Ovis aries: one gene and its partners. The protein of the gene in region 3 interacts with the protein of the main gene of each other region in a biochemical or structural test. Links are inferred from orthologs where the notes say so. Each region holds a gene or a part of one and is shown on either strand. Other genes may lie near its edges.

Evidence for each region.
Region 1: the proteins of BCL2 (region 3) and PMAIP1 interact in a biophysical measurement, tested with the Homo sapiens proteins (2 studies listed by BioGRID and IntAct, with this or other methods). The link is inferred for Ovis aries from reciprocal best matches to the Homo sapiens genes BCL2 and PMAIP1.
Region 2: the proteins of BCL2 (region 3) and NR4A1 form a complex in vitro, tested with the Homo sapiens proteins (2 studies listed by BioGRID). The link is inferred for Ovis aries from reciprocal best matches to the Homo sapiens genes BCL2 and NR4A1.

The regions. Positions count from the first base shown.
Region 1 is NC_056076.1:59,079,364-59,083,109, forward strand, and holds the start of PMAIP1 (phorbol-12-myristate-13-acetate-induced protein 1), read left to right. Parts: upstream 1-1,455; 5' UTR 1,456-1,617; coding exon 1,618-1,675; intron 1,676-3,746. UniProt on the Homo sapiens protein: Promotes activation of caspases and apoptosis. Promotes mitochondrial membrane changes and efflux of apoptogenic proteins from the mitochondria. Contributes to p53/TP53-dependent apoptosis after radiation exposure. Promotes proteasomal degradation of MCL1.
Region 2 is NC_056056.1:134,283,843-134,287,463, reverse strand, and holds the end of NR4A1 (nuclear receptor subfamily 4immunitygroup A member 1), read left to right. Parts: coding exon 1-144; intron 145-228; coding exon 229-407; intron 408-2,191; coding exon 2,192-2,448; 3' UTR 2,449-3,005; downstream 3,006-3,621. UniProt on the Homo sapiens protein: Orphan nuclear receptor. Binds the NGFI-B response element (NBRE) 5'-AAAGGTCA-3'. Binds 9-cis-retinoic acid outside of its ligand-binding (NR LBD) domain.
Region 3 is NC_056076.1:61,899,224-61,902,917, reverse strand, and holds the start of BCL2 (apoptosis regulator Bcl-2), read left to right. Parts: upstream 1-874; 5' UTR 875-1,959; coding exon 1,960-2,514; intron 2,515-3,694. UniProt on the Homo sapiens protein: Suppresses apoptosis in a variety of cell systems including factor-dependent lymphohematopoietic and neural cells. Regulates cell death by controlling the mitochondrial membrane permeability. Appears to function in a feedback loop system with caspases.

The DNA of each region.
Region 1 (3,746 bases), about 2.8 Mb from region 3:
TAAGCAACCAATTTGCAACCTCTGCATTATATAGATAATAAAAGATATATATATATATATATATATATAGAGAGAGAGAGAGAGAGAGAGAGAGAGAAGGGCTTCCCCGGTGGCTCAGCCGTGTAAAGAATCTGCCTGCAATGCAGGAGCTACAGGAGACACAGGTTGGATCCCTGGGGCAGGAAGATCCTCTGGAGGAGGGCATGGCAACCCACTCCAGTTTTCTTGCCTGGAGAATTCCATGGACTGGACAGAGGATCTTGGTGGGCTACAGTCCATGGGGTCGCAGAGTCGGACACGACTGAAGCGACTTGCACGCACGCACATACATAAAGAACACTTATTTTCTAAGAAACTGTGATTCCTGGGAAGGCCGCAGATGCGGGTAAGACGTCCTGCTCGGGATGGTGCTGCCTGGGTTCAGACCCCCTCCTCTGCTCGCGGCCTGTGTGAGCTCAGCTCACTTCATCTTTATAAACCTTCAGTTTTCGCACCCGGAAAGTAGCCACAATGGTGAGAATGTCCGCTTGGTTGGGTTGTTCCGAGGACAGGATGAGAAAGTGTCTTCGGAAGCCCTCAGAGCCAAATTCACAGGATCTGTTCTCTAGTACGAGTGACTGCTTCTCTTTATAATAATGGAATTATTCCCGGGCCAGCCAAACATCGGGCAAATACGTATTCCCAAATGCCTCATTTCTCCCCCCCCCCCCCCCCGGGGGAGCTTTTGAAAGCTGTCTACATGATGACCTACTATTTTTTGGTGTTGTTTTATTAAAGCGTCTGGAAGGAGGTATGAGACCGACCCGTAGGGAATACACTCTGCTTTTAGAACCACTGTCCTCACCCGGCGGCAGAGAACAGCCACTTCCCTTCACCCGCTTTCCTTCCCCCCACCCCCTCAACGCATTTTCCAAACCCAAACAGGGTTTCCTCTCTTGCTCCAGGCTTTTAGTTGGCAGTGAGCTTCCCAACCAGTTTCAGTTTCATTTAAGCTTCCGGCAGCTTCTCTACTGTAATTAAGTGTTCTCATTTTTCTCTGAAAACGTCCCGTACTCCTCGAGTTTGAATACTGTCCTTTCCCGAACCCTTCAGGGGTTTGTTTACGAGAGTCTGCGACTGCCCGTTTATGATAGGGATGACGCTCCAGGCCTCCCCATCTCCAGCCGTTCGCGAGGACAACCCTTCCCGGTTCGCAGCTCAGAGACCCAGCCACGCCTGCAGCCAAGTCCTCGGTCCAGGAAGTAGCTGCGGGGCCGGGTCAGGCTCCCTCCCCCGCTGCGCCCGGCTCGCCCCACGCCGCCTGGGTCCCCGCCCTGGCGGCGCCGGGCCCGAGCCGGGGGCGGGGCCGGGGGCGTTGCGGGCCCAGGGCGGGGCGGGGCATGGGCGGGGCCCGCTGTGGGTTTCGCTACGTCACCGGGAAGTCCCCATACGACCCGAGCGCGCGCTGCAGCGATCGCAGAGCTGCGAGGTTCTTGCAGGCGCCGGTTCAGTTTTTTCCTGCTCTGTGCAGACCGTCGTCTCCTGCCCGTTCTCCCCTTGCAGCCCGCGTCCTGCAGACCCGAGGTGCTCGGGTTGCATCGCTGAGTTGCCCCGGTCTGCCGACAGCCGTCTGCAGAGATGCCTGGAAGGAGGGCTCGTAGGAGCGCCCAGCCGAGCCCCACGCGGGTCCCGGCAGGTAAGGAGAGCTGGGGCCCGCGGAGATCCTGGCCGGGAAGGGGGTCTGGGTCGCGGTCTCGGTCTGGCAGGGGCAGCCCGTCGCCCCGGGGCCTAAGAGCCCGGCGGGACCCGCGCCGTGGCACGTGTTTTAGGGGCGCCTCCGGGACGCTATTCGCGGGTTTAACCCGGGGCGGTGGGGATGGCGAGGGAAGGGGTGAGCCTTGCGATGGGGATGCTGCTGCGTTTGAGCGGCGGCCGAAAGCCTCCTCTCCTTCGCCTGCCTTCCGTCCGCGCTCGCCCTCCCCGGGGCCACGCGGAGAAAAGTCATGGTCACGGCCCGGGGGCTCCGCTGGCGCTCAGCGCTTCCGGAGACAGGCCCTTTTCCTCCGGGGTCCAGCACCTTTTGAGGACCCTTCTGTGTGTCTGACCGCTGTCCCCAGCCCCAGCACCAACAATAACGCTTGATGCCATCACAGTTCTGCAAAGGACGGATGGAGGGCTAAGGAAGCCCCGAAAGGACCAACGACGTCAGAAGCCTGGAAGGCCTGGCTTCTTCGTTAAAAGCATAACATTTTAACAGTCGGTATTAATCACAGAAATGCCATAGAGAAAAACAGGAGATGGTCCACAGTGTTGTTTAATCCATCCCTTCCTCCGCCCTTCCCCATCCATGTAGCCCCATTAAGTAACTTCAGGTCAGCTCTCCTCCTCCCCGCTTTTATAAATCTTATCAAATAAGGCAGACATCTGCTAAGGAGCAGTAGCAAGGAAGTAAGACCGTGGGCTGGAAATCCGTGTGGGTCACACTGCTGTTGCATCAGACAGTGTTGGGCCCCTTTTACACTTAATTTTATGGAGCCCCTGGGGCGTGCAAAGGCAGTGGTGCATAGCCAGTGTGGCCGTGGCTAAGTTGGCACAAGGCTGCTCTCTGGCTCCTGCTTCGGAGGGAAGAAGCTTTGTCCATCTTTTGTGATGTCCAAGAGTTCTGGCTGTGTTGCAAGAATTGCATAACCTTCACGGTCCAACTTGGCCCCCCTTAATAAGGGACAGCAAAAAGGTCCCTCTTAAACTTGATTAGATGGTAAGACAAAAAAATTGAGATGTAAGTGAGGTAGAACACTGTCTTAGTTTTAGGTGTACAGCCTAATGATTTGATATATGTATCAATTGTGACATTATTACTGTAACAACTTTAGTTAACATCCATCACCACACATAGTTATGTTTTTAATTGATACATTTATAGATGTAATAAAAAGATTAAGGAAACAACTAGGTGCCATTTTCTTTTTTTTTTTTTGATGAAAGGGATAATTTTTTGTTACAATTCAGGTCTTTCAAAACGGTAGGCTGAACGATAATTGTTTTTTTAGCATTGTGTTAGTATTTCTAACTAAATACCCAGCTCTTGTAAAAAGAGAATTTGGTTATTTTGAGCCTAAATAGGGAATTTGCAGGGACTGTTTACAAAGTAAATCAGTTTTTAATTTGTAGTCATAATGGGTTTTAGTGATCATGAACATGGTATTGAAATGTACGAAAAAGAAGCTGAATTGCTTTTTGAACTATCCAAGAAAATCGTAATTATGGTCAGTATTGGTTTGGTGTTGATTTCACTTACTTTAAAAGTTTACTTAGAAATTAGATTATAAATATTACTTTCACCTTATATTCAGTTTATTACAGTATCTTAATCTTAAAAAATAGTAAACATGTGAACTAAACATTATTTGTTTTTTGCTTCACTCATTTCCATAGAGGCAGTGGATTGGTACAGAGTGGGAAGAACTTGTTTTAAAATGTTAAGTTATTTTAGAAAATAGGGACTTAATTTTAGAATAAGCTGTTATGAGTCTTTCATGAGAAAACTTGAAAGAGTTGTTTAAATAATTATATGAGGGCACAATCAGAACTATGAATTATTGCCATTTACAAAATGAGCTGTACTTGAAAATAACATAAAAGAATTTAACTTTTCTTTCCCTAGCCAATCTTAAGTGAGAAAGAAAAGGATGAGATCACCTGAGGCTGTGAAACTCACTCACTCTTTGTGGTGTATGACATAAATGTCTATATTTGAAAGTAAGATA
Region 2 (3,621 bases), on a different chromosome or scaffold from region 3:
CTACGACCTGCTCTCGGGTTCCCTGGAGGTGATCCGCAAGTGGGCCGAGAAAATCCCTGGCTTTGCTGAACTGTCTCCCGGAGACCAGGACCTGCTGCTGGAGTCTGCCTTTTTGGAGCTCTTTATCCTCCGTCTGGCCTACCGGTGAGTGTCCCACTGTGTGCTCAGCCCTTGGCCGGCGCCCTGCCCTCCAGCCCCTCTAACGGCTGTCTGCACCCAACCTGCCAGGTCTAAACCAGCCGAGGGGAAGCTCATCTTCTGCTCAGGCCTGGTGCTGCACCGCCTGCAATGTGCCCGTGGCTTCGGGGACTGGATCGACAGCATCTTGGCCTTCTCTCGCTCCCTGCACAGCTTGGTGGTAGACATCCCTGCCTTCGCCTGCCTCTCCGCGCTTGTCCTCATCACAGGTGGGAGGCCGGTCCCCAGACCCAGGGAGATGGGGAGGGCCTGAGGGCCTGGCTCTGGATGTACCAGCATCTGGTGTTTCCTGGGCCCCCTGCATTGTGGAGTGAGGGTGACAAGATGCAGAGAGGGCAGACGTGGCTCAGGGCAGTGCAGTTGGTGGTTGGCAGAGCCGGGTTTCAGGCCTAGCTGTGGCTGACGGCAAACCATCAGCCTCTGACGGAGCCCAGACTACTCAAGGTCCTAACTGTGTAGGTGTCAGGTGTGACCTAAAGTTTGTTTTTTTTAAATCTTACTGAATCATGTTGCATGGAAATTATCACACAATGTACGCACACAAACAACACACAGGTCAAGAAACAGACATGGGGCTTCCCTGGTGCCTCAGTGGTAGAGAATCCACCTGCCAACGCAGGAGACACGGGTTCAATCCCTGATCTGGGAGAGTCCCACATGCTGCGGAACACCTACGCCTACGCGCGTGTGCCTTAACTACTGAGCCTGTGCTTTAGAGCCCAGGAATCACAACTGTTGAAGCTCATGAGCTGCAACTGTTGAAACCCTCCTGCTCTAAAGCTTGTACTCCAAATAAGACAAGACCTACAATGAGAAACCTGTGCACCGTAACTAGAGAGTAGCCCCTGCTCGTTGCAACTGGAGAAGGCCCACGGAGCAACAGAGACCCAGCACAGCCAACAACAAATAAATAAATAAAGTTATATTTAAAAAAAGAAACAGCCATGACCAGTACCTCAGAGCCCTTCCTTGTGCCTGCTTTTTAGTCATTAGCTGCCCGAAGGGTAGCTACCATCTTGACTGCTAACAGCACTGATTAGCTCTGCTGGTTGTGTACTTCATGTGAATATGTAAATGTAATTCTGCAAGATAGGAGTTTTTGGCATTAAATGTGTAGGCTTTCAGGTCTTTATTTGTTAAAGCACCAGAATCTGCCCCATCTCTTTCTCTCCGGGATCTTTTGTTGTGGTGCAAAGACTCTCTAGTTATGGTACATGAGCTACAGAGCACATGGGCCTTGATAGTTGAGGCATGCGGGATCTTGGTTCCCCTACCAGGGAGCAAACCCCTGTCCCCTGCGTTGCAAGGTGGATTTAAGTTAAGTTTCACAAGGCTACATAGGACCAAAAAACTGTAGGACAGAATCAGAGGTACTTTCGGCTACAGAAAGAGCACTGGGTTTTGAGGCCTGCTTTCTCTGGAGGTGACATCTGTAATGCTGCTACACAAACCCAGGGTTTCTCACAGTAGTCTGGGGTGTTAGTCGCTTAGTCATGTCCAGCTCTTTGCAACCCCATGGACTGTAGCCTGCCAAGCTCCTCTGTCCATGGAATTTTCCAGGCAAGAATACTGGAATGGGTAGCCGTTCCCTTCTCCAGGGGATCTTCCTGACACAGGGATCAAACTCCGGTCTCCTGCATTGCAGGCGGATTCTTTACCATCTGGGATGGGGGGAACCAGAAACCAAAAAAACAATACCGGGCTAGTCAGTGAAACCTGCTTAAGGTTTTATTTCCTTTTTGTGACCTTAGGCAAGTCTTGTAACCTCTCTGGGCCTCACTTTGTCCCTTGGAAGATGAGGATGATGAGCATTGCTGCCTTGCTGGGCTTCTAGTGGGGCTCCTCTGCTTGCGTGGGGTGCAGAGGGGGCATGGGAGATGATCAGTAGCAGCAGCTCCAGAGACCTGGGGGCAGCCAACTCTGCAGGGGGGAGAGGGTCGTCCGGTTCCGGGCAGGGCGTCTAACCCCACACCTTGCCCCCCCTCTGCCGCAGACCGGCACGGGCTGCAGGAGCCTCGCCGGGTAGAGGAGCTGCAGAACCGCATTGCCAGCTGCCTGAAGGAGCACGTCTCGGCCGAGGCGGGTGAGCCCCAGCCGGCCAGCTGCCTGTCACGCCTGCTGGGCAAGCTGCCCGAGCTGCGGACCCTGTGCACCCAGGGCTTGCAGCGCATCTTCTACCTCAAGCTGGAGGACTTGGTGCCCCCTCCACCCATCGTCGACAAGATCTTTATGGACACTCTGCCCTTCTGACCCTGGCCCGGGAACATGTGCGCACTCAGTGTGCACGCTCATAATGCCACCCCACGTGCCTTTAGCCCATGGCCCACGGACCCCCGGAGCATCACCCCGGCCTGGGCCTGAGCTGCAGACTGGCTGCCCCTCCCCCTTGTTCTCTGGGAGGTCAGCAGGGAGCTCATGGCCTCGGGGAGAGGGATGCATTCACAGGGGTGACCCTTACTTTTTGTCTTACCCCCCGAGCCCAGCCCTGGTCTTCATGTTTTTGTAAGATAAACCGTTTTTAACACACACACACCGCCATGCTGTAAATAAGCCGAATGCTGCTGTAAATACAGGAAGGAAGAGGTTGAGGTGGGAGTGGGGGTTGGGAGGGAGGAATGGGCCCCCACCAGCCGCCTCCTACTTGCTCTCTTGCCGCCCTCCTTCCACATGTACATAGACTCATTCTAGGAGGAAGACAAATGACAGATTCTGACATTTATATTTGTGTATTTTCCTGGATTTATAGTATGTGACTTTTCTGATTAATATATTTAATATATTGAATAAAAAATAGACATGTAGCTGAAGCTGAGATCTTCTCTCTGGCACCCTCTACCCATACCACCCACCCCCAAAACAGCATAATAGAGACAGAGGTGGCTCCTGTAAGTCTTTATTTTTGGGCAACCCGTGTCAGGTGGCATATGGGAGCTTAGTTCCCTGACCAGGAATCGAATCCACACCCGCTACAGTGGAAGTGCAGAGTCCCAACCACTGCACCACCAAGGAAGTCCCTAGCTCCCATAAATCTTGCATGTTGCCAACTTGGCTAACAGGCCTCAGTTTACTCATTTATAAAAGGTGAAAGTAATGACACCTGCTTCATGGGGTTGTTAGGCAAAGCACTCAGACTAGTTTCTGACATGGAGAAAGCCTCTGGTGAACAGGCCAGGCTTGTGGATGGGGCCTGTGCTGGGGGCCAATTCGTCCACCGGCTTTGCCTGGAAGTTCCTAACCTGAAGCCCTAGCTCACATGTCCCCTGGAAGTGTAGGGCTGGGTCCAGGGCAGCCCAGGATGGTGGTAGCCACTGTCCTTACTCAGAAGTTTTTCCCCATCCCCACTTTCAGTATCCCTCCCCACAAGCCTAGTGCACCAGCAGCAGGACCCAGGTTATGGTAACCCTGACCTTCTTGGCAGGAAGA
Region 3 (3,694 bases):
CAAGGCAGCGCGAGGCTCGCGGCTGCCCTCGCGGAGGCGCGCGCGGCGTGGCCTCTCCTCTCGGGGGCCGGCGCCGAGGCCCCCGCCCGGGGTCAGCATCGGCCGAGGGTGGACCCCGCGTGCGGGACGCGCGCTCACGCCACGCGCGCGCCCGCGCCGAGGAAGGGGCGCCGCGGCTCCCGGCGCCCGTTTTCTCGGGGTCCCCCCCGCCCCCCGCCCCGCGCCTCCGCCGCCCGGCAGCCGCCCCCCCGCCGCGGGCGGTTCCCCGGGCGCCCCCGGCCCCTCGCGGGCCCCGGAGACCCCGAGCGCGCGCCCGGCCGCCGCAGGCCCGAGGAGGCCCCTCGCCGCCGCCCGCGCCGCCCGCGCCCCCCACCCCGGCCGGGCGCGCGGCGCGGGCCCCCCGAGCCCCCGGCCCCGCGGCCCCCGCCCGCAGAGCCCCCGGCGGGGCGCGCTCCGCGCCGGCCGCGGCGCCTTTAACCCGGCCGGGGGGGGCGGCTCCGGGGAGGGCCCGTCCTTTCTTCTTTTTTTGAATGAACCGTGTGACGCACGCACAGGAAACCGGGCGGTTCGAGCGGAGAATGAAGTCAGAGGCCGGGCCCCCCGCGCCGCCCCCTTCCTCCCGCCGCCCCGCCCCGCGCCCGGTCCCCCCGCCGCCGCGAAGGTGCGGGCGCCGGGCCCCCCCCGGGCGGCGTCCTCGGCCGGAGCGCGCGGCGCGGGGGCGGGGAGAGGGTGCGCGGCCCGGAGGCGGGGTGCGCCGGTGGGGTGCAGCGGAAGAGGGGTCCGGGGGGGGAGAACTTCGGAGCAGTCATCCCTTTTTAGGAAAAGAGGGGAAAAAAAAAAAAAATAAAGCCCTCCCCCGCCAGCGCCGCCTCCCACCCTCGCGGCACCACACACAGCGCGGGCTCCTCGCGCTCGGCACCGCGGGGCCGGCGCGGCCAGCCTGCGTCTATCGGCAGCTCTTCGGAAAATGCCTTGGCCGTTCGGAGTTTGATCCGGAGAGGATCCCCGCCCGCGTCCGCCGCTCGCCCGCCGGCTCCGGCCCGGTGTTTTCTCCCCGGGGAGGCGTGAGGCGGCCCCGCGGACACAGACCCATGTGTGTGCCCGCGCGTGTGTGCGCGCGTGAAAATTGCCGAGAAGGGGAAAAATCACAGGACTTCTGCAAATACCGACTGAGAAATGGTAATTCATCCGCCGCCGCCGCTGCCTTCCGTTTGCTCGTGCTCTTGAGATCTCCGGTTGGGATTCCTACAGATTGACATTTCTGTGAAGAAGTCTAGGAATCAAACTGGAAATTCTCCTAAATTTTTGCACCCCCCTCCCCCAACTCCTGATTCATTGGGAAGTTTTCAGAGCAGCTCTAACTGGAGAGTTCTGAAGATTGATGGAATCTTTTTGCCTTTTCATTTGTTTTCACAAAAAAGGAAACTTCACAGAGGATCATGCTGTCCTTGAAAAATACCAGTAAGTTCTTTGCACAGGAAATTGGTTTAATGTAACTGTCAGTGGGAACCTTTGCGATTTTCACTTTAAGTGCATTGGAGTAAGTTTAAATTTCCAGGCAGTGTAATATATTCTTCTCAGCGTGTAACTTGTAGTGTGTGTGTGCCCTGCTTTCAACCAGCGTGCAGAGGGAAACGCACCTGATTTTGACTGATTAGTTTTTTTAACCTTTCAGCATCACGGAGGAGGTGGACTGATATTAACAGTAATTAATAATGTGCCTCATGAAATAAAGATCCGAAGGGGATTTAAGTAAAAATTTCCAGGATCTCATGCCAAGAGGGAAACACCAGAATCAAGTGTTCCGCGTGGTTGAAGACACCCCCTCTTCCAGGAATGCAAAGCACACCCAATGAAATAGCTGGGTTGTAACTCTTCCCCCCATCTGCGGGGCCGTGGGGCGGGCAGCGGGGGGCGAGAGGTGCTGCGGGGGCCCGGCTGCCCTCCCGCGGCGGAAGGATGGCGCACGCGGGGGGCACAGGCTACGATAACCGCGAGATCGTGATGAAGTACATCCACTACAAGCTGTCGCAGCGGGGCTACGAGTGGGAAGCCGGAGCCGCGGGCGCCGCGCCCCCCGGGGCCGCCCCCGCGCCGGGCATCCTGTCCTCGCAGCCCGGCCGCGCGCCCGCGCCCTCCAGGACCTCCCCGCCGCCGCCCCCGGCCGCCGCCGCCGGGCCTGCGCCCAGCCCGGTGCCACCTGTGGTCCACCTGACCCTGCGCCAGGCCGGCGATGACTTCTCTCGGCGCTACCGCCGCGACTTCGCCGAGATGTCCAGCCAGCTGCACCTGACGCCCTTCACCGCGAGGGGACGCTTCGCCACGGTGGTGGAGGAGCTCTTCAGGGACGGGGTGAACTGGGGGCGCATCGTGGCCTTCTTTGAGTTCGGAGGGGTCATGTGTGTGGAGAGCGTCAACCGGGAGATGTCGCCCCTGGTGGACAGCATCGCCCTGTGGATGACCGAGTACCTGAACCGGCACCTGCACGCCTGGATCCAGGACAACGGAGGCTGGGTAGGTGCTCGTCTGGGTGTGAGCCTGAGCCGGCGGTCCGAGTGGCGGGGTGTGGCTGGGCCCAGGGTCAAGGGCAGGCCAGTGGAGTGGAGCCAGGTGTGTGGTCTCCCTTTCTCTTCCCCTGCAGAGAGCTCTCCCTGCCGGCCCCACCGCGATCACTCCTTCCCCGGAGACATTGCTTCCCTTGCGCCAGCTACTGAGGTCCAAAGATCCAGCCTTTGCTGCTCAGTAGAATTTGGGGATAAAGGGCATCCCTTCGAGGTTACTGAAACTGGGAGTCCAGGGATCCCCATGATCACGGTACCTGGTGGAGTAGCTTATTGAAAAGGAGCATTTCAGGGACAACTCATAAGCTGGATGCCAGGCTGAGTCCTGACTCTCTGCATCAGAAATGAGCTCCCCTGGGGGGGTGGGGGTGGGGGTTCTGCTTTGTCCTAAAATTTGAAAACCACTGATTAGAAGAGCAGACTCCTCTAGAGGCCCAGGAGCCTGCCTTCTCTGACTCACTTGGTAAAATCTACCCAAAGAGGAAAACCAGTGTAGCCCCTTTCCCTAGAAAACCTGGATGATTGTGAAAAGGTTAAGTTGACTTCCAGAGTCTGTTGACACTGACCTCCAATGTGTGCCGCGTTCATAGTGGGCATGACCTTGTGTCTTGAAGAACCCTAGGCTGTGGGCGTTTGTTTCATCACTGACGGGTTTCGCGTTGGCCGCCTGTCTTGTATTCTATTTCTATAACTTGTGTATGATTTAGAAGTTCACTGGAATTTTTAGTGTATTTTATTTTCCACCCTAACCTACAATGCACATCGTTTGGTGGGATCCTCTGTGGGGCAAACTTGCGTCCAGAGTATCTATATAAAGATAGAAGAATTGATTCTTAGCTGTGGATTCTCATGCTGTGACTTTAGTTGAAGTGATTGATGCTTGTATTTTTGAAGAACATCTGTGAGCTGTGTTGTTTTTTTTCCTGGTACTGTTGTGCTAGACGGAGCCTCCGTCACGGCACCATAAAGCTCTTTCTGTGAGCGTGATTCTCTGGGGGAGGGGCACAGCTCATAAGACTGAAGAAGTGTCACTGACATCTACACCTCATATCTGAAATGATCAATTTGTGAAAAAGTGAAAGAGGAATAACTCTGGTTCAAGGTTTTGCAGACTTTTTGTTTTAATCTGAAGA